3 linked regions of the Astyanax mexicanus genome follow. The protein of the gene in region 2 purifies or fractionates together with the protein of the main gene of each other region. This does not show direct contact. Links are inferred from orthologs where the notes say so. Each region holds a gene or a part of one and is shown on either strand. Other genes may lie near its edges. The genes, in order: anks3, nek7 and ankyrin repeat and SAM domain-containing protein 6.

Region 1 (11,144 bases), on a different chromosome or scaffold from region 2:
GCGCGTTTGGTATAAAAGCATTCACAGCGAATCACCATAAAGCTGCGGCTGAAACCGCCATTAAAAACAGAACGTCTAGCTCACATTCACACGCCATCTAACGCAAAAATTACCTTTGCTGTGCCTCTTTATTACATTGAATCTGAGAACTATTGAGTAGTGTTGCCAAATGCCACTAATACAGCCAAATTAACGCTACCTAGCAAGCGTAAGTTAATGAAGAGTGGTCTTCACTAGCTAACTAGTTAGCTTTGGCTCTCCAGCTCTGCGCTAACGTTACACTGAAGGGGAGGGGGGGTGTATTTTTGAGCGCGTTAGCTTAAAGCTAGCCAAGCTTAAAAATAAATAAACTAACCGTCACAAAACCAACAAAACGAACACACATCAGTAATGATTTTTTTTTAAACACGACTAACTTGTTCGGACTATAAACAAAACGATACTAAAACTCAATATATAAATAATTTTTAGCTCGCCCTCCATTACACGACGTTCAGCTCACACGTTTCTCCTTCACTTGTAAGCCAACATGGCGTCCCCTCACAACAATTACTGCCTCCTCTTTGTTTAGCCCAAAAACGGAGAAAAACACACCGGTGAACACGCTCTCTATCAATGAGCGAACTTCTTAGAAATAGAGACAAACGACCCTCTAAAGCAGACTAACATACCCACAAAACACGTCGAATTACAATTAATCCATTAATACTGAAACGGATTTTAAACGGCGGCTTGTTGCTAAGAGGTTACCGCGCCACAGCGGAGCGGAGCGGAGCAGCCCTCAGCCAACCGCCGCTTCTCGCCTCTCCGCGGAGGAAGACAGGATACAAGTTAAAGTAAAGCCTCATTCTGAACCCAAAACAAGCCAAACAAACAGCCTAAGAGGCACACAGGCCTCCGACTCCTAAGTCTCCACAAACACATTAAAAATAGCCATTAACTTACCTGTTTCGTTTCGATTACTCCGAACACCCAAAACAACGACCGTCGACCGTGGGTAGCCTTCCTCCCTGCCCCCTATTTATGCGATCGGTGACGCCATCTGCAGAAGTCCCCTCCCACCGTGTCCTCCCATTGGACAGATCGACGCTTTGATCTGGGGAATGGCGCATAACAGCTAACGGTTACGTCGCGTCGTTTTATCATTATCGCACCAAATAAGAGAGAGAAAATATAAAGAAAAAGAGGGAAAGAAATCAACTGCTTCTTCTTTTGATCCTCATTACTTTAGAAGCAAAAGCAAACAGTATCCCGTCTTACTTACACATCCCAACATGCATGTTTAATCATGAATAATTATTAAAAAAAGGCAAATTCAAAGTATTTAAACATTTCTAGCAGTGATCACTGGAGCTTCTTATTTATGGGGGGCATGAGTATTCAAATCTGCATTATGTATATTTAAATTAAATGCACCAGACTTTTAATAAATTTCAGATGTTTAATGGCTTTATTTATACATTAGAATTGTAATCATGCTCTTTTGGGGTTTGCGTTTTTTACTTGTGAGGTGTTAAGGTAAAAGGGGTATTATTTTATTCAAATCCATAAAATATTTTTTTCATGAGTTTTTTAAATATATATATATATATTATACACACACACAAACAATAAAGCTTTTATGTTCCATACTTATTCCCAAAAAAAATAATAGATTAACACTTCAGTGTCTTACATTTTCAACATTTATGCTTAAAAATGTTTCTAAAAGTGTTTTTTGTCTTTTGACAGGTTGTTTGATTTTTTACCATATTAATTTACTAGCTGTTATAAGTTATTCGGTTTCGTGTGGCCTTTTTATCACTTTAATCAGGATACTGAAATACTATCAGTAAGGAAGAAATCGCCAGTTTTAAGTTTTGCGTGCATTTGCTTTATATAAATTTAAATAAGTATAAAACTACGAGCAAGATACTATTTATTGTTTTCAATTGTTTTGCACGTGTTGTGCTTTCTAACTGTACGTAAAATAAAAGAGGGAACCACTGCGTGAGGGAGTCTATTCTTCGACGGACTCTCTAGTAGGTGTACACCAGCACCAGCGTGAGGACAGTTGTTTACATTAGGCTGTTTTTATTTCAGTCTAGTTAAGCTGTAAACCTGTTATATTTAAACATTTTCACATTGTATTGAATATAGAAGACATTTAGAATTATTTAAGAAACGTATTAATAAGGATTTATCCCCACTGAAAGCCGGATGTGAGGTGAGTTTATGCTGAAGACCAATTTACTCCTTACTGCTGGATGAACTGGGCCAGCTAAAGATATAATTTGTTGATATTCAGTAAGTTTTTAATGTTTTGAACACGATAGTAAACACACCTGTTTTGTAGGTAAAACTGAATTGGGAAAAGTCTGTCATTGATAAATTATGGAAAGATCTATGGAAAGCTTGAGTGAGTCTCTCCTGATCTGTCCATTTTTATACAGAACACAGATGTGGCCATAGCTTTTCTGAGGTGAACTAGGTGCTTATTTATTACACACAAGCAATCCAAATTCCATATGGCATATACAGTATTATAAAATATTTAAATATTATATATGCAGCACGAAGGCATGATAAGATAACTAGATAATAATATAAAACAATATTTACACTTAAAATCATAAATTATGTACAGGCTGTTAGTCTGTAATGCATTAACAATTAATAGGAGTGTAATGGTTTACAAAGCCTAAACTTGATGTGATAATGTTGTCTTGATTATATACATTATTTTAAATAAATTAATCAAATAAACACGTGCATTATCTTAACATGCATGTATCTACTTTTAGAGTTATAATTATATGACAAATGAAACAAAAGCTGAACCACAACAAGAAGCTCATCAAGCTGGGTGCAAAATATAGGTAGCTGGGTAAGTTACTGAATTTGGTGGATTTTTATTTTTTGTAGGCTTGGCATCCTCTCCATGATATTAATGGGATAATAAATACTTTTGAGGTAATTTCTGCCCAAAGTGACCTCCGACTATGGAAGAGGGTTTAACTGGAAAAGGTAAAGTAATGGGTTCTTTGCAACTGACCACTATTCTTAGCTTCCTGCTCTTTGTGTATTTTGACGTTCCCACATTTTCCCACATTTACATTTCCTTGTGTCTGTGTTTTGTAAAAGGGCCACAGGGAGAAAACTGCTCAACCCTGGCAGATTTTCATTGGAAGCGAAGCGATAACTCCTTCACCTTTAACTTTCTCTCACAAGCCCCACCCTGCCTGGGATACAGTCTGGTAGAACCCAAGCAGGCAGATTGTTCGAAAGCAGGCAGCTCATTTGCTTTCAACTTTCAGATCCCTGTACAAACCGCACAGAGTGGTGAGCCAGAAGACGAAGCCATGCAGACCGAAACAACAGAGACTGGAGAAACCGCCACTGAGCTCAGTGCAGTTGCTTCAAAAAGCAAAGTCAAGAATAAGAAAAAGAAGCAGCAGCAGCAACAGAAGAAGAAAGGAGGAGGAGGGGAGGAGGTGGTGGTGGACAAGCAGCAGAAAAAGATTAATAAAGTAACTGAAGAAGCTCCAAAACAGGAGAATGTAGAAATGGTTAGTGAACACACATGTATTGAGCTTACTGTTAGACTAAAAAAACGAAGTATTTAATTTCACATATTGTGTTTGTGTGTGTGTTAGTCTCCAGATGAGCAGCTAAATAGAGAACTGGACTGGTGCATCGAACAGCTAGAGCTGGGTCTACGAACTCAAAAATCGTCTGCCAAGCAGAGTGAGTAACAAATACTTTTAAACACACTATGGTTATTTACTTGCATTAATTCACAATAATCCATACAAACAAGATAAACAAGCTGAAATCTGTGTGTGTTTGTGTAATAGAAGAGGAAGCCAGTCGTGCTCTAAAGACCCTGCGCAGCTCCAAAGCTCCTCTGGTGAAAAAGAGGCAGGTAATGAGAGCTGTGTCTGGAGATTACAGGAAAAAGATGGAAGAGGAGAAAAATAAACAGTTCAAACTCATTCAGTCAGGTGAGATATAGTTTCACTATTTGTACAGTGGGAGGAATTTAGACATGCCATTCTGCTGTTTCTTCTTTCCTGGTACTGGCAATCTAAAGAATTAACTAATAGAAATAGTTTAAACACTAAATATTTAAACACTGCTGGTCTGTTTTTCATTTAATTTTTTAACATTTTTTAATGTTTTTCACTATTTTTGCATTTGGACTTCCCACAGTAAAGGAGAGTAATTTACATTTACACAATTTTGAACTGCTGATACAAAACACTAAGTTGCATTGTGCAATTGCAGTGTTCTGGACCCAGTGTTAATGAGAGAGTTGTCATTCTTCCTATTACAACATAATGTTGCTTTAAGATCAATATGTAAAAATGGGACTGCCCCACAAGATAAAACACAGCTGTAATAAACCGTAATATTTTTAGTCTGGTTACAGAATTAGAATGTAGTTATTCTGTTTTTTTTTTCTCCAATATCCAAGAAGGAAGTATCTAATATTAGCCCAATAATGCTCTTCATTCATAATAATCTAATCTTTAATGAATAGAGTTTTAATTCATTTAAGTTTTAATTGGTCTAATTTAAAAATTATTACAAGTAGTAATAATTTAGTAATAATTACAAGTAGATGTTCAGTATGTTTGCATCCTGTACATATGCACATCTTCCCTTTCTGTAGCATAATTGCTGTTTGCATAATTAAACATATCACAGAAAATAAAACTATGGTAAGGTGTGCAGAGGTAATTTTACATTAGATATATTTATCTATTTAAAGTTTGAGTGACTTGTTTACACCAACAAAATGTGCATGTGACCAGGATTCTCAAACTCATCCCTTTCTATGTGAAAAGGCAACTAACTGGTCATCCCTGTTTCAATAGCTATGACCACAGCAAGGGTTAGCGCTGTGTCAGAACCTTCCCGCAGACCAGTGTTCCACCGCCGTGCTGAGACAAAGAGAGACACAACGCCCAGCACAGACAAACCCCAGGACACACATGGACGTTCACATGCTGTCGAGCAGACTGATGGACACACGGAGCAGTTTGTTTTCAGACCCTCTCAAGAGGAATTTTGCTTCAACTTTGACGTGTGATTGACTTCAGATAAGCAGCAGTGGAGCTACACTATTGGGGGAGGATATACTGTGCAGTTCTGGGGTATTATCACTGTATACCTGAATTTTATTGCAAACTGAACCAAATACAAGTTGATCATGGATAAGGCTTTTTGACCTTGGTGAATAAAAATTCTAAAAAAAGGTTGATTTTGTAATTCTCAATTACAAAATAATATACAGTACAAGTGCAAAGCTTGGACACACCCTTTCTCATTTTACGTTTTTTTTTCTTTACTTTTATTCTTTTCTACATTGTAGATTAATATTTAAGACATCAAAACTAAGAATAAATGCATATGCAATTATGAAGTAAACAAAAAGTGTTTAAAAAAAGCCAAAATACATTTTATATAATAGAATAAATATTATATAATACAATTATGTCACTTGAATAAATATGTATGCTTCTTTCTCAGTATAAGTCAGTAATGGTTCTTCAAACCAGTTTATATTGGGAATATACAAAACTAGATTACCATCTAGGGCATGAATTATAATTTTTTTTTTAGTTGGAACCCTATAATTTTTGGAAGCTTAAGGGTCCCTGTGGATATAGCAAACGTAAACTTCAGCGAATAAAAAACACTATTTTAGTAAATTAACATTAGGAATGTAAGAATATTGTAAGAAAACAAAAAGGCAAATCTACTTTTTCACATATTCTTGCACATACACATTTTTTATGACCCACTTGTATTGGACATACAGCACTGGGAAAAAAAATAATAGACCACCTCAGTTTTTGAATCAGTTTTTTTTATTTTGCTATGTTTGAGTAAAATGAACATTGTTGTTTTATTCTATGAATTACCGACAACATTTCTCTCAAATTTCAAATAAAAATATTTTGATTTAGAGCATTTTTTTTGCAGAAAATGAGAAATGGCTGAAATTACAAAAAAGCAGAGCTTTCAAAAAATAAGTTCATATTCATAAAGCTTTAAGAGTTCAGAAACCAGTTTATTTGGTTAAATAACCCTGGTTTTAATCAGTTTTCATGCATTTTGTCATGTTCTCCACCAGTCCTATACACTGCTTTTGGATAACTTAATGCCACTCCTGGTGCAAAAATTCAAGCAGTTCAGCTTGGTTTGCTGGCTTGTGATCATCCATATTCCTCTTGATTATATTTCAGAGGTTTTCAATGTGGTAAAATCAAAGAAACTCATCATTTTTAAATGGTCTCTTTTTTCCAGAGCTGTAGATATGCCATGTAATATTATATTAATAGTAAGTAAATAAATAAGGCTTGACATAGTATGAAAATGTAAAATGTAATTATCTAAACAAAAAATGTGGTTTGGTGTCTGAGGGCAACACTAGGACATAGAGGGTTAAATAACTAAATGGTATAGAGTCTGTTGTGGTTACCATGGATACATAAAGTATGGCGGAGTTTTATACAATATAGTGAACTGAAAAAAAAATTATTTTGCTAAAATGAACACGTTAGTTATGCGTCAAGCTCACCCAACACAACAATTCGTTTTATTATTAAAACATAGTTTTATAATGATAAAAACTACCCCTAACTTTTGTAAAGTTTGTCAAACGTAAAGACGGCTACGGCAGTGAGCGCTCATGGGATATGTAGTTCCTTAATTTACGACACGCGCTTCAGATCCATACGAGGGAAGTTGAAAAGACTACAAATCCCTGTCTGTCCTGTGAAAGCTAGCCCGAACAGATGAGAGAACTTGTGTACGAAACGAATTTGTATCCATTCCGTTAGGATACAAATCCATGGAGTTGTTCGTCTCGAAAAACATACAAACAGAAACTTTACCTGCTCGTATAAGTAAGTAACTTAACTACATTTCTTTATTTCTTACTGTAACATTCACTCAGCGAAAGCTTGCTCATAAGAGCCATTTAATATCCGTGTCTGTTGATAACTCTCCCACATTTCCCAGTTCCCCTTATTAAAACATCTTTATCCACAGGGATAGGCTTTTATTTTACAGTTGAACTGGAGCGAATGAATCAGTTAATACATACATTAAGAGTTGGATAACAAATGATAATCTAATGTGATTGTATTGACTAACAGTGCTTTCAAGCGAGAGTAGTGTGTTTAGCTTAATGTTATTAAAAGTTTTAAAAGTCCCTGTGGCAGCATACAGTGGGGCTCTCTCCCGCAGGGAACTCAGTAATCGCGGAATTCGGTGTTCTGTCGAGTTGTGTTACCCGTCGAAATGTGCTTCTCAACGCCAATGCGCATGCGCGGACCCAAATCTATTTTATGTTTGTGTTTTATGATAGTTCTACAAAAGTTTACTTGGGTGCATTTAACAGCCTGAACCTTCTGTCCTTATGTCATTTTTGTCTGAGTGTTACAAATGTGTAAATTGCAGTTAATAATTATAATAATAATGAAAGTAATAATAAGTGAGCAATAAAAATAAAAAACGGAACACTATCCCTATTTACCTCTAACTGTATCCTGATATATTGCTTGGGGATTTTTAAATATTCTACCTAGAGTATTTTTTATAAACATGGTGCTTTGTATAGCATTTTTTTTTTACGATACACTAGGGTAGCACGGTTTAGCAAGGTACCAAAACTCGACACAACACCGGCAGCTAGCTTGCAAGCTGAGTGAACTAGCTAATTAATCAGTATTTAGAGCTTCTCATTATCTTTTTTTTTATATATATACTCAAGAAATTACTGAAAGTGTTCTGTTCTACACCAACTTACTATTAGCTAACATAACCTAGCGGTGTTGTGCAGGTTAGCTAAAAAACTCTCAGCGCTGGTACACAGTGCTATGATTGCTCGGATTCCCTTTCTGCAGAGCAGGACTCGCAGTAAGTTTCTGTAATAAAAGGCTCGTTGTTGTGTTGGGTCAGGTTCGCTGGCTGGAGGATGTCTGAGCTGAGCGATGAAGCCAGCGAGTCAGAGCAGCTTGGGGCAAGTCTGTCTGTGTGGTTCGGCCACAGCGGGAGCGCCCTGATCCGGCCGGAGGAGCTCGGAGTGCCGTTGGACCTCCACACCGCCTGCTCCATCGGACAGTACGACGTGGTGGTGGAGTGTATTCAGAGGTACATGATACTGTCTGTCTATATCGGCCTGAGCTGCTCAGTCTAATCAATTCTGAGTTGGTCATAATTGTTCCAACCATTTCAACAATAATACGCTTTAAGGAAACCTAGAGGTGGGTAACCCCCACCTCAACTTTAAAATATGAAGTGATCTGGTTTTTTTATTACAATAAGATAAAAAAAAAAACAATTTGGATCAATATTTTAATACTGGATCTGAGCTATTATGGGATAAGAATGGTGATAAAAAAATAAGCCGGTAGTCAGTACTAAGAGTTTTAAAGTTTTGCTCTTTACTTCAAGAACAGTAGCTAATTAACAATTTAACTTAGTCAGTAGTTAATACTGATAATGAGATTTGCTCCCTATCCTAAAAAGTGTGATTAACGTTACTAAGTTAGTATGAGATTAAGTTTTAGTCATTAATCTAAGAATGACAGTTACTGAGTTTGTCAGTATCAAGTGATTTTTGCTAAATTTTCATCACCATTTTTTTCGCCATTTTGTTTTTCATGCGTAAAGTCCCATGGCAGATCATTATAAAACATACTAAAATAATACGTAACATTAAATTAGCATTTAATTTTATTTGGACTTTGCTAACTAAACGATTGATTAAGATATGGTTTAAAAATCTAAATTATTTTATTATTTGCATTTATTATGTAAGCATTTTACACAGGGCTGGTATGTTTATGGTTACAGAGCAATATATTTTACCTATTAATGTAAAAATGTCTTATAGTTTAGTTACTCTTTAAGTTTATGTTTAAGTAGCTTAGAATCTCCTGAAAATAACCTCTGGCATGTGTGAGCGTCTTCTGTAATTTTTTTTTGTAATTTTTTAGGTGAACAGTATTAACAGCATCTAATACTGACTGATGTTCATTACAGGAAGCTTTTAAGTCTATTCAAGTTATTTATTTATTCATTCATTTGCTCCTCAGCTTAAATGTATTTGAAATGTACAGTTTAAAATACTTTGATGATTAATGCAATTAAATGTAATTAATTTAATCAGAGAGGACGTAATTAATTAGATCATTTTTTGCAATCGTTTGACAGCACTAATACATATATATATATATATATATTTTTTTTTTAGAAGGGATGTAGATGTGGATGGGAAGAACCTTGGTGGATGGACTCCACTGATGTATGCAGCGTACATTGGTCATGACAACATCGCTAACCTTCTCCTGGAGTCTGGTGTTAGTGTTAATGCTAGCACTGCTAAAGGTCTAACACCGCTAATGCTGGCCGCTAGCTGCGGCAATGAGAGCATCGCTTACTTCCTTCTTCAGGTACAGGATATTAATTGGTTGATTAATGAAATAATTAAAATACAAGTTTGCTGATTAGATTATTAATCACACTGGATTATTCACAAGTGTTCCTGAGTTTGTATATTCTTGCATCTGATTGGCTATAAAAAGCAAGGAGCAGAGCTTGAGGGGAAGGATGGGCGAGGCTGGACAGCCCTTCTGCACAGTACAAGCAACAGACATCAACAGATGGTGAAATTTCTCTTGGATAACAACGCAAATGCAAATATCAAGTAAGATGCCAGCACACTTCCACACATCACACATGTATGAATACCCGCACACATTTTAAGTTGTTCGACAGACGTTTAGCTTGACCTTTTGGCCATTGGTTTTTCAGAGAGCCAGTGTTTGGATTTACTCCACTGATGGAGGCTGCAGCATCAGGCCATGAAATCATTGTCCAGTATTTGCTTGATCATGTGAGTGTGTGTATGTGCATGAGTGTGTATCTGTGACTTATTGTGTGTCAGCAGCTGTTCATGTGTTGTGTCATCTCAATGTGGGTGTGTATGTGTGTGATTTGCAGGGAGCTCGAGTTGAGGAGAGGAATTCTAAGGGTGAGACGGCGAGAGTGTTAGCCATGACGTACGGCCACACCAAGATCGCGAGTCTCATAGACATGCACTGTATGAGAGCGAAGCAAGGTCAGACACATACGGTGCATAAAGGCAGACACACTCTTATTTATACACACATAATAAAACTCTGACAAGCACAGACAATACCGTTCCACCTCATGTACCACATGTGATGCGAAAGACAATAAAGTCTTCTTGAATCCTTGAATCTTTGAGACCTCATATCTGTCATAGCTGTCATATTTGAGGATGTAGCTCTGTTTCTCTCCCTCTCCTTCTGGTGATTAGGTATGTATGAGGAGTTGAGCTCATCAGAGGAGGACAGCGCAGCTCCTAGACTGAGATCGACACGTAGCAGAACCAGAGGGCCCAGCATACACGATGGACCACAGGCCATAGCCCGTTTTAGAGTGGGACCCAAACATGGTATGTACCTACACACACACATAGTCACTTCATAAGTCTACTAAGAGTAGATAATCAATTTGCCACTATGTTAAAAAATCACAAACGTTCACTCATTTGGTATTACTATGTTTGGATGATCCATTATAGGTGCCTCAGAGATACTTAACATTCAAATGTATGTCTATTAAATGCAACTGAACTCTAAGGTGAAAGTAAATGATTCAGTATTGAATGTAACCCTAAATCCAACTCCAACTAACCTGAAATCTAATCTTTACATTTTGAGGTTATGTTGTGAGTTAGATTTAGGGTTTAAGTTAAGGTTTGGGTTAGGGTTAGGTTTTATGGTTAATTCATAATTTAATTCATAATTTAGGATCAGGGTTAAGAATCATTAACATTCAACTAATAGCACTTTTCCACCGATGTGGAACCGGCACCGTTCTGGTTTGCGGACCTAATTTTGAACCGGTTTGCCACATTTCCACGAACAAAAGTAGGTTCTGGAGCCAGGAACATTTGTTCGCAGTGGGAACCGAAAAATACAATGTTCTTTAGCATGAACTATGACAACATCTGTGGGTGTCTGTGGGTCTGTTTGTACAGGAGCAACACTCTCTGTTTATGACGTATGATATGATATTTTCACGGTTCCACTAAAACTGGTAGAAACGCAGGCTGGTTC
Region 2 (11,312 bases):
AAACAGATGGTGTCAAAACAAAAAAAAAGTCACATTGATTAACAAGAAAGTAACACACAATTATTTTGAACTAAAAGCTAAAAATATATTGTCTCACTTGTCTCCCTCTGTGTAAGACAAATAATCTAATCTGAATCATGTGTTCATGGGGACGAGTGATCATTTAAACTACTATAAAAAGACTGTAAACGCAAAGGCACACTTAAGCCCTATCCGGACAGGATGCGTGGCAGTGGACATTTATCTATTTTATTAAACGCAATGTGGATCCGGACAAAACTTACAATAACGGACAACCACGGAGTTCAGTGAAAAACAGTAAGTAATTCAGCCTGTAATTTTTTCAGAGGACGCCTGAGAAAAACACGTACAGACGGGAATAAAACCACAGAGGACACCCCATAAAAGAGAAAATTACCCCAGAACACCCTGAGAAACTATTCCCGTCCAGATAGGGCTCAACAGAAAATTAGAGCAATTATAAATCAGTCAGTCAGAATTTGACAAAAAAGTAAAGATCTCAGACTTTATACGGCTTTAAATATCCAACAACTGCTGAAGTGAGCAGCTGAACAAGCAGAACCAATTATGCACTCTTGTAGGTCATCACATGCCTCACTCTCTGACTCCCAGATCTAGACTCAAACTACAGGAAAACAGTATTCACAATACAGTAACAAATCTGCATTCTGAGCCCAATAACATCAATCAAAGTACACAGTGAGTGTACTGTTACACCTCTAACAACAATCATCACCTAATATGCTAATGAGCATATTAACTGTTTAAGTTAAACAAATCTTTAATGAATAAAAAGGAACTAAAACAAACAATTACTTTAATTACCTAAACAAAAACATTGGCTAGCTGACTAATGACTCTTTCCCTTTAACTAACCTCAGTGCAAATCCTCTGGAATTTAGGAACTTTACATCTTCTGCCTACAAACAAAACAAGGCCCATTAGAAGCCATTACAAAAAGAGCAATTGTTATATAGAAAGAATGTCTAGTTAGAGATGTTGCACTATACTTATATGCCACTGATGTGTTTGTTTAGGCCCTAGTCTGATTCGAGTATTTTAATGTTTTTGAGATGACACTGATCTATTTTTTGTGTTGAACAAAATACATTGCTTAATAAGCTTTTGTATAATATGATAAAGATTGACTCTATAACCTGAGCCTACACAGTCTGAAACAAATGTTTGGGTATCCCTGTCAAAGTTATAATAAAATCTAAATGTAAAAAAAAATATTAATAAAAAATAAAAATATAACTAAATATTTATTGTGTCACTAATTTTAGTATGATTAATATGAATGGGTGTTCCCCTAAGTATTACTTTAGGCTTAAAAAATTACATCATAATCGGGCCTACATTATACAATATAATATATAAGAAGAAATAATCACATAAAAATTAGATAAAATTTACAAAAGTTACAACAAAATGGGGCCTGACTGAGTCTCAGTTGTAACAGTAACAGCAAATGATAGCTTTTGGCTTTGAGATCAACACTGTCAGTTTCAATGCAAAAGACCCACAGTATCACTGATGCACAGCATTTTTAATTTGACTTGTCCTTGTGGCAAGTCGCTGTCATCCACAACAATTCAAAACTAAACACTCATCTAAAACAGATTACACATTGTGTCTTGTCATAATTATGGCCTGTAAAACAGTTCACTAATCAGGAAATAGCTCTTTAGCTAATGTAATGTAAAAACGAATGCCAAAATAATGATCAATTTCAGAAATGTATCAGGACATTCTGGTTGTTGATTTGGTTTCTTTTGACACATCTGAAATAAATAAATAAAGCCTGGGATCAGTGTTTTTTTAAGGTAAAAACTGGGTTTAATCTCCGGCACCTGATGTTTGGGCAGAAATCCTCAGCAGTACAACCATCCCTTCTCCAGCACACAGAGAACACTGACACACAGCTCATAAGGATGGACTGATTGGCTTCACATGCTTTGGAGCATCTGCAGCACAAGCATGTTTGCCCACACCCTCCGAGGCTGGCAGCTGTAATGTAATTAGGGACAGATTTCTGTAGAGGACAAAACTGTGAAAACTGGTAAAATGATGCAGGGTGGAGCATTAGGAGATAATGCAACTGCATCCGGTCTATATTGTCAGTTTCTGAGAACTTAATCATACAAGTAAAAATGCAAAGGTTACAATGATCTAAAGTGGGATTGCGCAAGATGTATGAGAATTACAAAATGCAGAAAAAGTGAATCCAAAGTAAACTACCTGACAGCACTTCATCAACCTGACAGGGTAGCCAGACTGCTTCTTGTTCTGTGAAACAGACACCCTGAGCAAAGTGAAAAGCAGCATTACAAAGACAAATTTGAGGGCGAAATTACAAGGGTTTATAAGATGTCTGTTTTGGACATGGAGCTCTATGGAGTTCCATTTATCTAACTAGCATCTAAAAATCTTGATCATTTGTACTGGGCACTCTTATGGCATTCATGACCTTCAGACTTAATACAATAACTAAATAATAAATAAACTAAATTAAAAAAAATTTTATGCTTTGGACATTTTGACCAATTACAAAAAGCTGAGGCCTGTATGTGCATGTGTTGCAAAACAGAATGAGCACAACAGATTATGCAGCAGATTTCTGTATCTACTATAACTGTATATTTTTTTTATAAAAAGAATGTCTGTGGCATCATTCATGTTTGTAAAATCTTAATTTTAAAGTGTAGCTCCTGTCAGTTCAGATCTTCCCTGCCACTCTGACAAAACAAGACTGTAGACTAATATCAGTTAGGGGTGGGCGATATGGCCCTAAATAAATCACAATATTTCAGGGTATTTTTGCACAAACTATACTCTTGGTGGTATGACAACATTAATTTCAAATATACACTACTGAAACAACAAATTAAACATTTTATAATGCAATAATATTGCATATATGATATGATATAACTCACTCGCATCTAAAATTATCAACAGATTGAAAATAAGAACAGTGTGAATTTTACTTTTGCTACAAACAGCAAAAAATTCCAGTTCCATGATGGCATATGGCCCTAAACTAATACCAACAAATTTCAGGGCATTTTTGCAATAACAACATTCCAAAATATGGCACCACCTTACATCAATAAAATTGTCATAAAGGTAAAAACCCACATTGCAGAGATCTAAAAATAAATTACAGAGTGGCAGTGGTGGTAAAACATGTATTAGAGCAAAGTTATTGGTAATTTGACATCAAGACCTGTTCAATACCTGTACAGATATCTAGACCTGATATTATTCCTAGTATTTTACAGCTTATATCTAAAATGGTATCTCTAAAAGTTAAAAATAAAACATACTGTTTCGGTGGTGCTATTTTAGACTAAAACAGGATTGAAGAAAATCACACCACTTTTAAGGAGATCTTTTCTTATCATAATAGCCATAACAAATGTGATCTACATAATGAAAAAAACGTTACGTATGTCCCACTTATACACCTCATTGTACTGGACGTAGATATTTCTTGTAACATTATATTATAACAAAACCAATAAACACATACATTTAAAACCAAGATATGGTAAGGAATGGTGTAATAAAAACACATTATTAGTTTGTTGCTTGACGGCAACATCATGCCATAGAGGGTTAGAGTAAACTGTTTGTATTTTACAACGAAACAGGCACATAAACAAGTAACTTAGAAGCCACATTTAATGTAACTAATTAGGCAAAGTTCATTATTAGTAACGCACTAGGTAAATAGCTAACCTAACCCAGCTGGTTATTTAGTGAGCTAAGATAGTTTAGTTAACAGGTTCCTCAACAGTGCCTCTGTCATGAAGTCACAGAAACAGCTAAACAAACTATTCACTAGTGTGTGTGTGTGTGTCACCTCGCTGACAGGTCAAGACGTTAGTAAGCTCGCTAACTGTGAACAGTCATTTCACGACTTCCTGGTAATGAGTCACAAAAAGCAGGATTTTTTAAAAAGTTACATTTAGGTTTTAAATTTAATCAATCAAAATAATAATACTCTCAGCTACATAACCATATCTGCGTTAGCTAGCTAACTTAGCTAACTCCTGACTGTTTAGCCCACGTCAACCGAGTTGCTACGCTAGCAACGCTTGAATGTTAGCCTAGCTGGCTAGCTATCTAAACAGCTAGCTGAAACTTTTCCAGAGTGAGCGTTTCCCTCATTTCCAGCGAATTCACTCATTTACAAACCTAATAAAACGCGTTTGTCCTTAATAATCGTTTTTACAACATATATACACGCGCTTAGTTTAGTGTTTGACTTATGAGACGACTTTAACTTCTAACTTCTGAACAGCGCGCAGGCTCGCTACCTAGCACTAAAGGTGGGTAACCCCGGTCCAGAAAATAAAAATCCTTCCCAGGGTTTTGTACCAACTGCCTGGGAGCGCCCTGCAGCAGAGCAGCCCAGGCACTTGGTACAAAACCCTGGGATGGATTTTTACTTTCCGGACCTGAGTTACCCACCTCTACATAGCACTAATTTAGCTTACGCTAGGTTAGCTCTCTAGCTGACTGTTGACACGGGATAACTCACAGTCGTTAGCCGGCTAGCTAACGGCTAGCTACCTCCGCTATATCCTTACCAGGAAGTGCCAGCTTAGCTCCCCACACTCCGCGCTCTGAACTCCGCACAGTCGACGGCTCCGCGCCGCTCAGCTCAGCTCAGCTCAGTCCCGGGTTGAGCTTCTGCTCACTTCTCCCGCCTCAGCGCGCGCAGCTGCTGCAGCTCGCAGGGTTCCCGAGGGTAGTCCAAGACTGCGGACTAGTGAAGATGTGCGTGTCCCCAGAGCGATCCTCTAGCTCGCCATTCCTGAGGTGTAAAACACACATCCCAGCATGCCCGATGGAAAGGGGGCGGGCTCCCGCACAGACTCCGCCAACAGCAGCGGCGAGAGCAGCCGGAGCTGGAGACTCTGACACCCGACTGTCTCACCGACTGGAGCTCCGTCTGCGGCTACCTGCTCTCTGTGCTGTTTTCTGACTGTGGAAATGACCTAGTTTTATTTTGGGTAAAACCGAAATGCATACATTCTATGTAAAAACACATTTCGTGAGGAGAAATTCGAATTAAATAGCTTAAACTCTAAACTAACTAGCTATTTAGTTAACTGTTAACTACTTCAAGAAGAAACCGATTGTTAGTTCTATTTATTTGCCTTAAAAAGTGTTAGGCTATCTACATGCTAGCTAATACATCTTGAAAATACCCAAACACACATTTAATAAGGGGAATTTCGAGTCAAGTTGGTAACTAACTAATTTGTTATTTTTATTTTTCTATTTTTTTTTTTTGGGGGGGGGGGTGTCCTCTGTGATTTTATTCCTGTCCAGAACGACCATATATGTATATTTCTCAGACATTCTCTGAGAAAATTACAGGCTGAATTATTGAGTTATTAATAATAATAATTATTAAAATGTGTTAGCTACATCCTAATAATAAAAAAAAAACCCATGTATATCAGTATATCTTGTCTTTTGTGTGTCCACAACATATTTGTTCATATTTCATAAAAATAAATGTAATAAAAATTGCAAAAAATAAAATAGGATTTACTCTGAAAGAACACACGATTACCAATACAGAGGAATGTTAGTCTTAAGTTTAAAGTACTTTTGGTAGATTTGAAACAATATTTAATGAAAAGTGGTTAACCCTAAATATAACATTTTTCTTAACTAAATGGTAAAAAATATTAACAAATGAACTATTTTCTTCTTAATTAAATGTTTTACGTCTCATATAACTACAGTTTCTAAAAAAAAGGTTAAAATAAAAAAAAGTTATGAAATTGTTGTAATTTAAGTCACATTACAATTTTAACCTAAAATAACAGCCATGTGCCCACAGTAAAAAAAAAAAAAACATGTATGAGCTGCTAATTTAATTTATCTAATTTAATTTTAAGCTGTTTTCATAAAAAATATCAAGCTATTTAAAAGTGTCCATGAAGTCCCTGTTCACCCTGTGTCATCTTGGGATAAACCCCCCTTTAAAAAAGTTACCTTTGACATAATTGACATCACAACCTTAATGGTGTTTTATATTCAAGGCACTGAAGACCCCTGCTGCATGTTCATCAATTAATAATATTAATTTGACTTCATTTTGTCTCTAGCTGTCCACACTGTTGTGGTAAAATGTCAAGGTAATTAAAATATGAAAAATAATAATCAAATGTATCTTTGAAACATAACAAGGTCTCCATAAACAATTAAAAATGTAAATTGCATTTTAAAATGCCTTGAGAATTATTTTGCCTTTAGGTTTTGAATAAGCCTAATTTTTCTGGACTGTATATTTTCCCAGAAGTAATTGCACAAATTATATATGTCATTTTAGGACCATTTTGTACTAATCATATAATGATAATACAGACATAGTGCAATTATACCCTTATAAAAAGCAACAGTTTTAAATAATAAAAACTAAAAATGTTTAAATATTTTACATAATAAAACATAGGTTAAATAAAACCACTGTTTTCAAAGTTGATCATCTGCCCTTGCAAGGCAAAAACGTTGGACAAAATGATTGAGGTCATAATCACAAATTGTCAGTAACGTAATTATCATGACAGGCATGTGATTATAAACATGAGTGTAAGTGTAATTTCTTCAGAGTCAGATCAGATGAATAAAAAACCTGTAACTGCTGAATTTAATCAAGCTCAGGTTTAATAAGTATCTGCTGTTTACTAAACCATTGTGAGTTAAATAAACTTCAAATGATGCTGCTACTGCCACTGAGAAATCTTATCGAATTAATACAAATGTGTTAGTATCTGTGACATAAAAAAAAGACATGCAGGTAGCCTACACCCTTGCTGATGCTGTAGAGATTCATATGTATTCAAAGCTGATGATCTACAACAGTGCCTTCCAGGCCAGGACCTGCAGAGTTTGGGGCCACTAGCCTACAAGGTGAAAAACTCCAATGTAGGTACTAATGGTGCCTTTTTAGGCCTAAACAAAATTGTGCACCACTTGATTAAGTTGATTAAGACTGTTGAAAATATTATCCATCTAAAGTTTCAGTCCAATTCAGGCAATGTATATGTGTATATATATATATATATATATATATATATATATATATATATATATATATATATATATATATATATATACTGTATATATATATGTATGTACAAATAGTACAGAATATTAAATCTGTGCAGTCAACATAATTCACATACTTTACACTTACAGTAAATTTACACTGTACAGTCTCTGTTTCTTTGCAGACAATTTAGGATAAGTCTACTGTAGTCTAAATTCTCAGTCTGTCAGATGAAGTTCTGCAGTTCTGTTGGATTTTAGGTTCTATCTCCTCTAAACACAGACTATTTTCACTTGACTCCTATAAAAATGAATAAATCCTGAATCCTGCATAGATTCCAAGTATCTTGTTAAAAGCTAACAAAACTCAAAAGTTATTCTTTTATTTCTATTATCAAAGAAAATCCTGAATAAGCTTGATTTACTGTAGGAAAATTGAATACAGCAAGCTGACACCAGAATCCTTATATTGCATTTAATCAGACAATGCAGTCTGAAAGATATTTTTTCCCCTGTATGGGAAACAGTATTATCCACCTCTGTTTTGACAGTTGATAATCAACAAGTGATGTGTGCTGAATTTTTTTTCTCCCCCCCGCCTGACACTTCAATAGTGCTTCTGCTAACCTTCGCACAAACACCATATGAAAAAGGTAAAGCATGCACTGTGTGTTTTCTCCTCTTCTTGAACAACGGCTGAAGATTAAAAGAAACATCTCTGGAATATCTGTCAATTCTGTTGCCGAATAATGCTGGGTAGGATTTTAATGGTACAAGTTATATTGGGCTCCCTCAACACCCACATTTTCTCTCAATGAGATCAATGCCTTGCCATGACAGATAGGGACTGTCTTTAGTATCTTCAAATTTTGGGTTTCTGAGGGAATAATTAGATGGATGGATGAGAGGCAGCGCTTCTGACTGTAAAAGGGAGCTCTATCAAGACGCTCTGGTTCAACATGCGAGTCTGTTTTGCTGAAATCTGTCTAATAATCGCGCGGAAAAGTCTATTGTTCTAAAAGTAGCACACACTGCCGGTGCAGCATTCTAAACGTATTGTAAACTTTTTCTCCTTCGCCGATATTATTTGTTTTGCCGCAAGGACTTTTGTTTGATTTGGGATTTTTTTTTTCTGGGATGCAGATTAGAATTACTTCAGGGATTTTTTTTTCCTTTCCCTTTTTCCCCCCACTACAAACTTTAGAGTCTGGCTTATCTCTTCAATAATACAACACAGGTTTTATGGGTACGAGGGAAAGGATCACGTTATAGATAAAAAAAAAACAAAGACTCTATATTATTATATCTGTCGATAAAAATCAATAGCCATGGATCTGTCTAAATGATGTTTCTGCATGTGCGCTTGCTTGCGTGCCTCATGAGATCTTTCTTAGTAAAACATTTTTTTAACGCATTAACTGAAGCATAAATGACAATGATAAAATGCCCCAGGGGAAGCTAAGCATTTGGAATTACTTGCCTTTTAGTCTTACAGTGGAGAATGGAGATTCCAGGTTATGTATGTTTTCCAACAGTACTTCCACTGTAATATATATATATATATATATATATATATATATATATATATATATATATATATATATATATATATATATATATATACAACATGTCTCATAGAGTCCAGACACCCATTATAATTATGCTACTGATGGTCAGTTGTGCAAAATGGTGAAGGTGTAAATTGCACAGGAACAATATAAGAACAGCACTGTCAACAGAGTAGAGCTTTTTGAAGCAGCTGCATATGATCCTAGGGTCACCATGTCCAATGCCAGGTGTCAGCTGGAGGAGTGTTAAGTCCTTAGCCTCGAGCAATAGAGCAGTGAAAATGCATTCTCTAGAGTGTTGCAACTTTATCCAGATCTAAATATTTTACATCAGTAACTGAGATTTTACTAAAACTCTTGTGGCTGGATACAATCAGCACTGTTCCAACCATCTAGTGTAAAATCTTCCCATAGGAGTGGAGGCTATCGTAGCTGCGAAGAGCAACAAACACTTATAATTCTGTAAGCTTTAATGATGTTCTCCAGCCCCCAGCAACACCAAATACAAGAGCATTCTCCTCCATCTCTCTCTCTCTCTCTCTCTTTTAGGGTCTTCTCTGTTGGGATTTCTGGAGAAAAGGATGATGAAATACAGGCTGCCTGTATAATAACTGCTTATGATGTAAACTTTGCATTTTTGGTACACTTTTCTATAATTCATTAAACAAACAATAGTTGCACCCATAGGGAATTAACCAAAATAAATGAAGCTTGGTGAGCTGTGCCAGGCTAGACCAGACATTTAAAGTGTTCAATTTGTCAAGGAAATTTAGAGTATCCAATTTTCCTGATCTCCATGTTTTTGGACTGTGGGATGAAACTGGAATGACTCTGTCTTGAGACCCACCTTTGTCTTGCTGGAGACAACCAACAAATTTGTGTGTGGAGGCACCATAGTCAGCACCAAAATCAGCAGCAGTTGTCATCTGTCACATGTTCAGAAGGCCTGATGTCACGGTGTCACCTTGCCTTGAAGCCGGACTTATCCCTAACCGTATCAACACTTCCCTCTTTTCGTAAATCTGCAGAAACTGTGAATATTCAGGCTGTATTGGATGGTTAAAATACAGGACACCTTTAGGAACATCTACTTCTATTCATTTTGGCATGTTGTGGTACACACTACCCCTGTATGTGTAGCTTAATAAATCTAAAAAATATAGATTTTATTAATTGTTTTGTTCCTAATTAAGTAAGACAATAAATCATAAGACTGTAAAATAGTCATTATAAAACTAAATTTCTCTAAGCTATGTGCTTCACTGGCCCCTGTTACAGAGTCTATCTATGATAGTCTAGTTGACATATTTAAAGCATGTCTTAATGAATAACATCATTGCTCTGTATTTCTAAAGCCCCATGGAGGAACTAAAGCACCACACTGCAAAAAATCCATTGGCAAAAACTAGACAAAATACATGCAAATTAAGACAAATATATGTATATTAAGCAAACAAATCTGCTAATGTGGTAACCAAATTTTTCTTAGTAAGATTTCTTACAAAAAGCAATGGCAAAGTCTCAAAATGAGTAAGGTAACTCCTAAATCGAGCAAAAAGTCACTGTTTTTGGACACAAGAATCAGAATAAGTTGATTGCTGCTTGATTGTGCATATTTTGAGTTCAAATTACTTAAAATAAGGTACAAATTCTAAGTAAGAATGATTAAGATAAATATCTAACACTTACAATGCTTAGTAAGAGAAAAAGTCTTATCAGAGAAGAAAATAAAATTTATTGCCTTGCTAAGATTTCGTTTTTTGCAGTGCATGATTAAGTTAAAGAGAGATTTCAGGATTTAAGAAGGATAATGGACACTGACTTCAATACCCATCATAACATTCAGAAAATTTCAGTTCTAACGCTTGGAATTAAACACTTTTAAAAGTTTTAAATGACCAGGATATTGGTAAACTAACTGTATTGGTTCTCATGGACCGTAGTTTATATTCACATTACAAGACATAGGTGACTTATTATCTTATTTTGTCTTTGTTTAACACAGATCTGATTTTTTCAGGGCTGTGTGGACATGTCTAATATAACCTTTTCAAATCAGATGAGTCACTTACTTATGTGATCCTATGCGACATGAATAGGAACAGTTACAACAAATGTTACTTCTTTTGCGCCATCTTTGTACACATGCACTTAATGCTGTTGGTAAAGGAAATTAGTGTCCTTATAGAAGAGTCTGTTCACTTGGCGGCCATCTTTGCCGTACCGGACCGTTACTGGTCACACAAGACCAGACAATCTTTGTAAATGTGGAGAGACAAAATACATAATACTGAAGGTCACTAATTACAACTTCAACATATTTTAAATGCCTGATAAAATCTGATTTAAAATATATATATATAGAAATAGTTTGTAGTGTTTGGCTTATGATCTTTTTGCCTTGCTCTGGGAACTAATCTTCATGTGGAGGTTTCCCCACTTGCATGTTGACCCTCCTCCACTCATGGCTTAACCAGCTTGCAGATTGGCTTTTTTTTTTTGAATGGCCGTAAACAGATGCCATGTTGAGAACTATGAGGATAGTATGAACCACACATTTATGATGTCTCTGCAGAGGCAATAGCCATAAATGTATAATTTTGCACATGGATGTAATTTTAGAAACACATTTATTCAAATTACAGC
Region 3 (11,476 bases), on a different chromosome or scaffold from region 2:
AGAATTTTCAGAGGTTAACTGAGCAAGCCTAATGCATTTTGTAAATTTAAATACAGGCTGCAAAATTTAATAGAAATATAAATTAAATGCTGAAGACGTATAGAGCAAGACTTATACTGCAAAATCAATTCTAAGTGCACCTCCAAATTCAAAATGGACAACCTCAACATGTGCAAGCTAAGTTTTTAAAAGACCAAAAATCTTCTCTGCAGCAAGGTGGTTAAACAATCTCACAGAACTTTTTAAGGACGAGTGAGGGAATACCCTTGCTTTGGCCAACAATCCCTCCATGTCTCTATATCTATAAGTTACCTTGTACACAGTTCAATGGAGTCTCAGTGTGACTATATGTTTTAGACCATGATATTCGTACCATGACAGTTCTATAGAGATGAATGTACTGTTGCACCCCTAATATATTAGCTATGATTCAAAATTGGTCCGTAATAATATTTTTTGAATATAGTATATTTTACATTTGTCCTACCCATGATACGTAGCCTGCATAAGAGCTGTCCAGCCATGGACCCCATCCTGTTTGTCCACATCTGCATTCTTCTCCACCAGTAACTGCACCACCTCCTGCTGTCCACTCACTGCTGCTATCATTAGAGGAGATGCCCCATCTGCATTAGCCAAGTTCACCTGCGATGGATCCTCCTCTAATATCTCCTTCACCAGCTGAGCATTTCCTACAACATTGAATCAATGAATCATTGGTGTCAGTTCAAATTCTTGTGAGATCTTCACCGGAAAAGGATTAAAAAAGCAATGCAAAGACATGCAATGCTTTACCCCAACAGTAGAGCAACAGTATGAAAATGATCTTACCAAAACAGAGTTCATTAATGTGCAGAGCTCTTCTAATGCTATTCATGTGCTCCCTGTTACTCACCTAGCTTTAGGGCACTGAAAACATCAGGTCTCTTCTTCTCGGCATCTGTTTCGATTAAAAAACAGAAAAGGAAAAATCAGCACAGTGCATTTTGATGATGGTGCAGGATTAAAGAAAAAATACATAATTTTTTTACATTTTTCCAATCACGTTTTTTGACTACTGCAACTAAAAGATGAAACTAAGAGTCAAAAACTGCAACCATTCTCTATATATCCAATTATTTGTAGACATTCCCTCTATTGAATGCATATAGATGCTTTAAGTTGAACCCATTGCTGACACAGACAAACAAATGCACACACAACACTTATCTAGAAAAGTAGACTACTACCAATAGAACAGGAGGAAGACAGACATGAATCTTTCAGCACCATGCCTAATGTCAGGAATGACTGAATGTTCCATCCAGTACTTTTGGGATAAACTGGGAAGTTTGGGATAAGGTACAGTTAAGTGAAAGTGATCATCCAACATCCTTACCTTACTAAAGCTTTAGTTGCTGAATGCAACCAAATCCTAACAAAAAGGCTCCAAAATATTGAAGGAACCTTACCTTGACACTGAGGAAAGTTACTCCAACAAATAAATAATGAACTTTTTTTAACATCTTGAGACCCTGCATCCTTATATGGGGATATTACATTTCTGCTTCTCTGCACAATAATAGTTTTTTTTTATATTGACCATATGGCCTCATATGGAGACACTGCCCCTAACATCTAGTGGTCACATGACAACATTACACTAAATTGATTGAAAACAAGATGGCAGGAATCTGAGCCAAACGTTTCTACAGCCAGTCCAGACAGAAACAAGTGGCAGGTAATAATAACATTTTATGTTTGAAACCAGTTTATTTACTTACTGTTTGTTTTCCACTAATTTGGTCCTTTGATCCCAAATAGCAAGAATCATTTTTAAATGTTAAAACGAACTTTTGTCCCAATATGAGGACACTAATTCTACATCCTACTAATTCTAAATAGCTAGGGGAAATTAAGTGTGCTGCTTCCCTTTTTAAATTATTATTATTATTATTTTGGATGGGAGGATGGTTGTATGTTGTATTCAAAATTGTACATTTTTAATAAAAAAATATTTTTAAAAATGCAAGAATGAGTCTCAGGAGGTATTGGGAAGTTACATACACTTGAGTTCAAAAGAAAAAAAATGAATGCCCTTTGTTCATATCTGTCCATTCTGTGTCAACAAAATTTTTAATTTGAAGTCGTGTTCACACACATTTGAATATATATAGTGTATGTATAAACAGTATAAAATATTGTATCATCTGAATACCAAAGATTCATATTATATCCGTTTGTTGGTCTCACCTGGTTGTGGACGAACTGTGGTGATGGAGTCGAGGTAACTCTTCACCTCTTTATGTTTAAGCTGCAGAGCCACTTCAAACGCAGTTTTGGAGAGTACATTCAGGTGATCAGGATCAGCACCTCGCTCTACCAGCAGCTGAGCTATGCTAGCCTTTCCACTTAAAGTAGCTAACATCAGCGCGCTCCATCCCGTGGTCTTCTGAGAAAAGTTCACATCAGCCCCCCATTCTAACAGCAGTCTCACCATGGCTTCAAAGCCGTGCTGAGCACTACATAACAATGGTGTGATATCTAGGAAGTTCTTCCCATTGTCACTATGGTTGCTATTGTTCCCGTTAGCATTGCCCTCCACTGCAGAGAGGTGGTCAAAATCATCCACAAAAGCTCCGTTCTCTAGAAGGAGTTTAGCGACGTGCGCGTGGCCTCCTCGCACGGCCATGGTGAGCACGCTGGCACCCAAGCGGTTCCTGCCGTTGATCTCCGCTCCATTCTCCAGCAGGATATGAGCCACGTTTAGATGACCAAATCTGTAGAGATGAACACAGAAAGTTAATTTTCTAAAATCTGACAGCTTTCTGACACTTAAACAATCAAAACTGAAAACTGATTTAATTCAAGTAACTACATTTAAACTGATGTGTAGTCTGTACATGCCTGTACTCATTTACACGCCTAAATTATCTTGTTCCCACAAATTAGCACCTTGTTCCCATGCCTTAAGAAATCGTGGCCAAAACTTAATTTTCTCATTCACATGCCTTAATTTTCACTTTCCCACGCCTTAAGATCTCATTCCCACATCTTAATAAGTTGTGGCCACACATTAGGATCTCACTCCCATGCCTTCATAAGTCGTGGTCACACATTATTATTTTTAGCATGATGTCACCTTAAGGGCTCCATATTAATTTACAGAAAAACAAGCTTTTTCATTCTCTGGCCACAACTCAATTATCTCATTCACATGCATTAATTATCTTGTTCCCACTCATTACGATCTTGTTTAGACACATTAATAAGTTGTAATCATGCATTAGGATCTTGTTCCTACGCCTTAATAAATCATGGCCACGACTTATTTTTTTATTCCCATGCCTTAATTATGTCATTCCCATGCCTTAATAAGTTGCTGCCACAACGTATTTTTCTTATTCATATGCCTTAATTATCACGTACCCACGCATTAGGTTCTTGTTCTCATGCCTCAATAATGCGTGGTCACGCCTTAGGATCTCATTCCCACGCCTTAATAAATCGTGGCCACGACTTAATTTTTTTATTCACACACCTTAATTGTCTCGTTCCTACGCATTAGGATCTCATTCCCACTCCTTAATTTGTAAGTTGTGGTCACTACTTAATTATCTCATTCAGATGCCTTAATTATCTTGTTTCCACACCTCAAAAAGTTGTGGGCACGCATTTTTTTATGTTTATGTATATATATCATTTTTTTGCATGATGTCACCTTAGGGTTTTGTATTACTTTACAGAAAAGCAATCTTTATTATTCTCTGGCCACTACTTAATTATCTAATTCACACGCCTTAATTATCTCGTCCCCACGCATTAATAAGTTGTGGCCACGCATATTTTTTTTAAACACAATGTCACTTTAGGGGGCTCTGTAGGCCCCACAAGATAACTAAGTTAGTTCTAGCTGGATATTATCTGGGCAGCTTGAACTCGCACCCCTGGTCAGAGAGAGCGGTTACCCCACCTCGCCGCCTGCATGAGCGGGGTCCAGCCGTAGTTGTTCCGGCTGTCCACGGACGCCCCTTTCCGGAGCAGGAACCGCACCAGCTGTTCGTGTCCGCTGGCGGAGGCGAAGTGCAGGGCCGTGTTCCCCTCTTCATCCGTGCAGTCCACCGGTACCAGCGGCAGCCCGGCCCGCACCGCGTCCACGCTGCACTCCGAGACCGAGTCCAGGCGGCTGCGGGACTGCCTTCCCGACTCGGCCCCGGGGTGCTCCAGAATCCGCTTGGCGCTGTCGTAGTCTCCCTCGTCGCAGGCGCGGAACAGCAGCAGCGAATTCGCCGGAACCCCGAAATTCATCCTGAGCTCCGGGAAAACTTCTCCTCCTCCACCACCACAAAACTTCTTCTTCTTCTTCTTCTCCCACTGAGCGGTTTACTGTTTTTACTGGGTTTACTGGCGGCCCAGGCTTAAACAACATGATAATAGATAATAAAACACAGTATAATGGTGTTTACGGATCCAGCAGCACGGAAAATCGCATCGCGGTGGTCTATTAGAGTATTAGAGTAACTGTGTTCTCCTAACTTAACTTCTGGAGTAACTGTTCGCCATATCCTTGGCAACTCGCTGTTAGCTGTGTGTGCGCATGCGCTATCCGTAGACCACTGCCGCTGTCTAAGAGGGGCCTGTCCCAATTCAACAACCAACTCAGCCACCCCTCAGCTGCGCCCCGGCTTGCTGGTCAGTGAGAGCAGAACTACAGTAGATCTGAGAGTGTGGTTCTCATAAGGATCAAAGTAAAACTTCCTCTGATATTATAGCATAGCATGGCAAGTTTTTTTTTTTTTTTTTGTTTTTTTACATTTTGTCACCTTACAAATACAAACTTACAAAATTGTATTGAGATTTCAAGTGATAGACCAACAAAAAAATCATCACATAATTGTAAAATGGAAAGAAAATGATTTAAAAAATGTAATCAAATACAAATCTGAATTGTGTGATGTGCAAAAGTATTCAGAATCAATACTTTGCTTAGAGCCACCACAATTACAGCTGCAAGTCTTTTGATGTATATCTCAACCAGCTTTGATAGATGGATCTAGAGACTGAAATTTTTGCGCATTCTTCTTTATAAAACAGCTCAAGCTCAGCCAGGTTGGATGGAGAGCGTCTGTGAACAGTAATTTTCATGTCTTGCCACAGAAGCTCAGTGATATTTAGGTCAGGACTTTGACTGGACCATTCTAACACATGAATATTCTTTGATCTGATCCATTCCACTGTAGCTCTGACTGTATGTTTAGAGACATTGTCTTGAATCTCCTCCCCAGTCTCAAGTCTTTTGCAGCCTCCGACAGGTTTTCTTTCAGGATTGCTCTGTATTTAGCCCCATCCATCTTTTCATCACATCTGACCAACTTCCCTGTCTCTGTTGAAGAAAAGCCTCCCCACAGCATGATGCTGCCACCACTATGTTTCACTTTTGGGGATGATGTGTTCAGATTGATGAGCAGTGTTACTTTTCTGCCACACAAAGCATCTGACCACAGAACCTTCTACCACATGTTTGCTGTACAAACAGCACTTGTAATGTATTTCTTTTGACAGTGGCTTTCTTCTTCTTGCCACTCTTCCATAAAGGCCAGATTTGTGGAGTGCATGACTTATAGTTGTCCTGTTGACAGATTCTCCAACCTGAGCTGTGGATTTCTGCAGCTCCTCCAGAGTGACCATGGGCCTCTTGGCTGCTTCTCTGACTAATGCTCTCCTTGTTTGATCTGTCAGTTTGGGTGGATGGCCATGTCTTGGTAGGTTTGCAGTTGTAGAATTAATTTTCCATTTTTGGTGCTTAAAGCTTGCGATATGTTTTTACAACCTAACCCTGCTTCTCCACACCTTTATCTCTGACCTGTCTGGTGAGTTCATTGGTCTTCATGATGCTGTTTGTTCACTAGTGTTTTCTACCAAATCAATGAGGTTGATGCAGAACAGCTGTATTTATACTGAGACTAAATTACACACAGCTGCAGTCTATTAACTTATTCAGTGACTTCTGAAGGCTATTGACTGCACTGGATTTTATATAGGGGGTTCAGAGTAAAGGGGGCTAAATACTTTTGCACATCACATTTTCAGATTTTTATTTTCGAAATTTTTTTGGTTGTAAGTTGACAAAGTTCAAGGGGTATGAATACGTTTGCAAACCATTGTAAATGGTTGTATATATTAATATAAATATTCAGTCTAACTGTAAATAAGTCTGTGCCTTATTTGAACCACAAATATGTAATTGAGTCATAGATTTGAGTCAGATATGGGCCAAATGTAATGAAATTTATTGTAGCCCTGTGTCAGTTCTGGCCTATATTAGAATCCGATGTGCTGGTTTGGACCTGTTGTGGAAAAATAAGCCGGGCTAAATTAGTTTGCCAGATTTGTTACAGATGTTGTCACTGGTTTAGGCCAGATTAGGGCCAGAGTTAATTTATCCCATGTTTGTCCCTTTTTAATTTTCTCCATTTTAGATGCTCTGTTCAGTGTGTAAATAATTATGGATGAATAGATCAGTAGAAATGCTGTAAAATTTAAAACACATGACAAATTACTTCTATTCAAAGTTTAGAATATTTTTGCCTTCTCCTGTAAAGTTGTCATTTTTAGGATAGGCTACATGTTTGTCATGGGACATGCTTAAATCATTTTTTATATATACATAACATATATCATATATAATTATATAATATACATATAGATTTCTGCATGGATGGTTGTAGTGTACAGCTCTGAAAAAAATGAGACCACTTAAAAATGATGGGTTTCTTTGATTTTACCAAATAAAAAAAAAACGCTGGAACCACCGAGAGTGGCATAAAGTTATCCAAAAGCAGTGTGTAAGGCTGGTGGAGGAGAACATGCCAGGATGCATGAAAACTGTAATTAAAAAACAGGGTTATTCCACCAAATATTGATTTCTGAACCCTTAATACTTTATGAATATGAACTTGTCATCTTTGCATTATTTGAGGTCTGAAAGCTCTGCATTTTTTTTTTGTTATTTCAGCTATTTCTAATTTTCTGCAAATAAATGCTCTAAATGTTCATTTTACTCAAACCTATAAATAGCAAAATCTGAGAAACTGATCTCTGAAGTGGTCTCTTATTTTTTTCCAGTGCGGTATATTAGTTGTCAGTATTCCTGGTGGTTATAGTATTTCAGTATTCCTGGTTCTTTGTGCATTTATTAAGGTATGGCATTTTCTGGTCATTTATTGGCTGAATTGGCCTACACCAAGACCAGTTGATACAAGCAAAGAGCAGACATTTAGAGCTCAATAAGAAAGGGTAAAAACAAGACCTTAGGTAAAACCACTCTGAATAACTTACTTAATCATTCTTAAATGAAATATTATGCTAAATTATGTTTGATAAATAGTGGAATTCTTCTTTAAAAGTGTGTGAAAGGTATGGCAACCTATTACATGCAGCTACAAAGTAGATTTTCCGAAAAATATGACAGCAGAGTGTACAAAAATACAGTTTGAAGTAAATATAAAAGCTGATGAAAGGAGATAAGATTGTATGAGCAGCTGTCCCATATTCAGCCACCAGAGAGCGCCTACAAAACACCATATCCGTCTTTTCCTTTTGGTCAGTGCCGTTTAGCGAGAATAGGTTTTGATGAGCTACAAAGAAGCCTTGTAATTCCATTTGAATTAATTGATTAATAAGGACCATTCTGTGCTTTGTAATAATGTTAGTAAAGCAAGCGTATAACATTCTCTTAATCTTTTACTGAGTTAAACCATTTAAAATGAGAAATGTGGTTTGCCAAATGTAATTTCATGAGTCACTGCCTTGATTCATATGAATACTGTAATGCCAAGTTAAACCCCTAGCAGCCAATATTTTACACATTTTCTCAAAACTTTACCTCTTTTGTTCTGCACTGGAGCTGCAAGGCTATTAAATAATGTAAACGTATATCCCACCAGTCTGCATGGCTAAATCAGCTAATGTCTTGGTTGATATGGGCTAAACAACAATATTAAACATTTTACCTTAAACTATATGCTTTAAAATCTTAATGATGCTCCTATGATTTGTAAAAGAGAAAATACTGTCTGTTAAGGCTAGGCTGAGTGTACTAACTGCACTATGTAACTCTTGTGAAGCAGACAAGAAAAGGCATGAAGGTATCTGTGTTTGTTTTGGCCTCTGACTCTGCCTACTGCTCATTCCCTAGCACTAACTCTACCTCCTAGGTTGCCAATACACATCAGCGAGCGGTGCTGCAGCATGGAAACTAGCAAGTAGGGCTGGTTCAGCTGAAACTTTAGCTGCTACACAGCCTAAAAAGCCTCAGCATGTCTCAAAAAAGCTCAGTGACCAATTGGCAGTGAGTTCGAAAGTTTAGACTTAGAGCTCAAAAAGACTACAAGACCGACATCAAGCTGGCTACTTTTCTCCTGAACAGGTAAGCTAATTGACTAACTAATTTAGTCAGAGAAATTATCAGAACTGCTAAGTTTTTTTTTTACTAGGAACTGGTGATAAATTAATTTAAGGAATTGAGAGCTCACAATGGATTGTTTAGATTCAGCCTCCCCAACTTGGCAACCTGAGTAAGCTTGTCTGGGGAGTGGTGGGCAGGGCAGACAACTCTCTGTGGTGTTTTTATATTGCAATGCTGTAGGTATTTTACACGCTCGCTTTAATTTCCGACTGAATGCTCCTTTAAAGTCATTAACCCTAAGCCAATGTGTCCAATCGTTTATCACCTTATGTGCTTTTTCCTGGTCAGATTCGGGTTGCAGTTTATCTACCATGTGTTGGAGAAGAAACCAAATTGAGAACATTGAGAACACATCAAACTCCTCACATACAGAGGCCAGACAATTAAACCCACAACCCTGGGCCCCATTTTTAGTGTTCTTCATCCATCGTTGTTACAATATGTTCCTCAGGCTTTGGTCCATGATTCGGTCAGCATTGATTTTGACTTCAGATCTACAAAAAAGTTGTTTGCATGGATGTGTAGTGTATGCTGCCACCTCATGATGAGCAGTGTGTACAGTGTAAAGTGTGTTTCAGCTCCTCTATATATGCTTTGGATTAGTACATAACCCTTCAGTTTTGCTCTGATGGTTTCTCCTTTGGTTCATCAGCTCTACAGTGAATGTGTGTCCGTGGGGTCGTTAAACTGTGACTGTGGGCCTCTGAAAGACAACTGATCCTAGTGTCTTAAACCATATGTTCTGTAAGCATGGTGAATAATGGTCCACCAGTGGAACTGACACAGTTAAATCCCATTTACTTTTTATATGTAATGCAATATTCTAGAAAAATACTTCAAGAAAGACTAAAATAACTTTTGTTAAATTTGTTAGAGCATGAACAATTCAATAGGCCTTTGAACCTCAGGCATGCTTAGTAGTGCTAAGAACAAGTTTGGGAACCCCTTATAACTTTTATGATTTTCCTTTATAAATAATTGGTTATTTGGATCAGAAATTTCAATTAAAACTATCATATAGCAGATGAACACAGCGATATTTAAGAAGTGAAATGAAGTTAATAGGATTTACAGAACGTTTGCAGTAATTCTTTAATTAAAATTAGGCAAATGCATAAATTTTGTCACTCTTGTCATTGTATTGATTTGAATACCTTTAGCACTAATTATTGAAACACAAAATTTGTTTGGAAAGCTCATTGACCTACATTCACACAGGTTAATCCAATTATGAGAAAGGGTTAAGGTGCCAACTGCAAGTAATCAAGTACTGTACAATAGCAACAACTCACCACCCACCTAGCAACAATTTAGAAACCCATGGAACCACTTTAGCTGCATAATAATTGTGTTTTCTTCAGGAAATACATTTCTAATTTTCTTGTTTCCCATTATTGCAATTTCTTTGTGACCCTCCCTAAACAAATTGTGAAATAGGATCACAATCTGACTCTACATATGTAATCAACTCGTATTGTTTTCCAATCCCTGCTGGTGCTAATCTGGTGTATCACGACTGCTATAAGCCCATTGAAACCTTTAAATTTTTAACAGCTGACCACAGCATTGCACCCTGCGGCAATTTGGAAAATATCTAACGGACTCTGTATAAGGAGCGGGTTTATGTAATCGGTTCTCATCTCCAAAGTTTGCCCTGACCTCAAATAATCAAGGCCTTTGGGGAGATTTTGAAATAGATCATAAAAGCTTCAGCAGTATTCCCCAAGTTTAAATATTTCTTTCCTCTTCTGAAATCTCCTTAGATGACAGAACAGAAACTGTAGAATACTGGACCGCTGAAAACAGAAAAAGCCCTCAATGAAATGAGCTGAGTAAGCTCAAGGGTATAAATAAGAGTGGTGGTAATTTATATTTTAAAGTAATAGGGACACATGACTGGACTGCTAATTCATCTACCTTAAATACTTTAATGTGAGGTCTCAGGGTATAGTACCAATCATACATTTGGACACACCTTTACATTCAATGATTGTATTATTTGTTTTTCCTACTTTGTAAATTAATACTAAATGAAAAAGTCATCCAGAAGATGAAGGAACACCTAAGAAATTATGTAGTAAACTTAAAAGTGTTAAACAAACCAAAATGCTCTCTAAGGTACACTGCTGGCCAAAAAAGTTGCCACCTGGATTTAAGTAAGTAAATTATCTGTTGTTGCTGCAGTTAGTCAGGTCTAGGTTCAGCAACAGTACATGCAGAAAGAATGAAGTCAGCTGACTACCTGACTATACTGAATATATACCAGGTTATTCCATCAATGGATTTCTTCGCTGATGATACGGACATATTCCAAGATCACAATACCAGGATTCATGGTGCTGGAATTGTGAAAGAGTGATTCAGGGAGCATGAGATCATCATTTTCACACATGAATTGTTCACCACAGAGTCCAGACCTTAACCTCATTGAGAATCTTTGGGATGTGCTGAAGAAGACTTTGTGCAGTGGTCAGACTCTACCATCATCAATGGTAAAAAAAAAAGAGTGGATTGGGTCACTGGCAGGGAAAAAAGAGTGAATTGGGTCATTGGCAGGGAAAAAAGAGTGGTTTGGGTCATTGGCAGGGAAAAAGAGTGGATTGGCAGGGAAAAAAGGGTGAATTGGGTCATTGGCAGGGAAAAAAGAGTGGATTGGGTCATTGGCAGGGAAAAAGGGCAAATTGGATCACTGGCAGGGAAAAAAGAGTGGATTGGGTCATTGGCAGGGAAAAAGGGCAAATTGGATCACTGGCAGGGAAAAAAGAGTGGATTGGGTCACTGGCACGGAAAAAAATTGTGGATTGAGTCACTGGCAGGGAAAAAAGTGTGGATTGGGTCACTGACAGGGAAAAAAGAGTGGATTGGGTCACTGACAGGGAAAAAAGAGTGGATTGGGTCACTGACAGGGAAAAAAGAGTGGATTGGGTCACTGACAGGGAAAAAAGAGTGGATTGGGTCACTGACAGGGAAAAAAGAGTGGATTGGGTCACTGACAGGGAGCCGAGAGTGGGTGGCTCACTGGAAGGAGGA

What was found.
Region 1: the proteins of nek7 (region 2) and anks3 purify together in Homo sapiens (affinity purification with mass spectrometry; 3 studies listed by BioGRID and IntAct, with this or other methods). This does not show direct contact. The link is inferred for Astyanax mexicanus from reciprocal best matches to the Homo sapiens genes NEK7 and ANKS3.
Region 3: the proteins of nek7 (region 2) and ankyrin repeat and SAM domain-containing protein 6 purify together in Homo sapiens (affinity purification with mass spectrometry; 3 studies listed by BioGRID and IntAct, with this or other methods). This does not show direct contact. The link is inferred for Astyanax mexicanus from reciprocal best matches to the Homo sapiens genes NEK7 and ANKS6.

Annotation. Positions count from the first base shown.
Region 1 is NC_064413.1:15,005,278-15,016,421, reverse strand, and holds the start of anks3 (ankyrin repeat and SAM domain-containing protein 3), read left to right. Parts: upstream 1-6,746; 5' UTR 6,747-6,896; intron 6,897-7,953; 5' UTR 7,954-7,969; coding exon 7,970-8,145; intron 8,146-9,250; coding exon 9,251-9,449; intron 9,450-9,581; coding exon 9,582-9,703; intron 9,704-9,810; coding exon 9,811-9,892; intron 9,893-9,999; coding exon 10,000-10,117; intron 10,118-10,339; coding exon 10,340-10,477; intron 10,478-11,144. Other genes in the region: c6h8orf33 (UPF0488 protein C8orf33 homolog), read left to right, coding at 2,982-3,006, 3,124-3,548, 3,636-3,726, 3,837-3,983, 4,860-5,074. UniProt on the Homo sapiens protein: May be involved in vasopressin signaling in the kidney.
Region 2 is NC_064423.1:21,308,492-21,319,803, forward strand, and holds the start of nek7 (serine/threonine-protein kinase Nek7), read right to left. Parts: upstream 4,965-11,312; 5' UTR 4,620-4,964; intron 1-4,619. UniProt on the Homo sapiens protein: Protein kinase which plays an important role in mitotic cell cycle progression. Required for microtubule nucleation activity of the centrosome, robust mitotic spindle formation and cytokinesis.
Region 3 is NC_064408.1:108,796,855-108,808,330, reverse strand, and holds the start of ankyrin repeat and SAM domain-containing protein 6, read right to left. Parts: upstream 4,546-11,476; 5' UTR 4,288-4,545; coding exon 3,953-4,287; intron 2,760-3,952; coding exon 2,233-2,759; intron 941-2,232; coding exon 896-940; intron 693-895; coding exon 488-692; intron 1-487.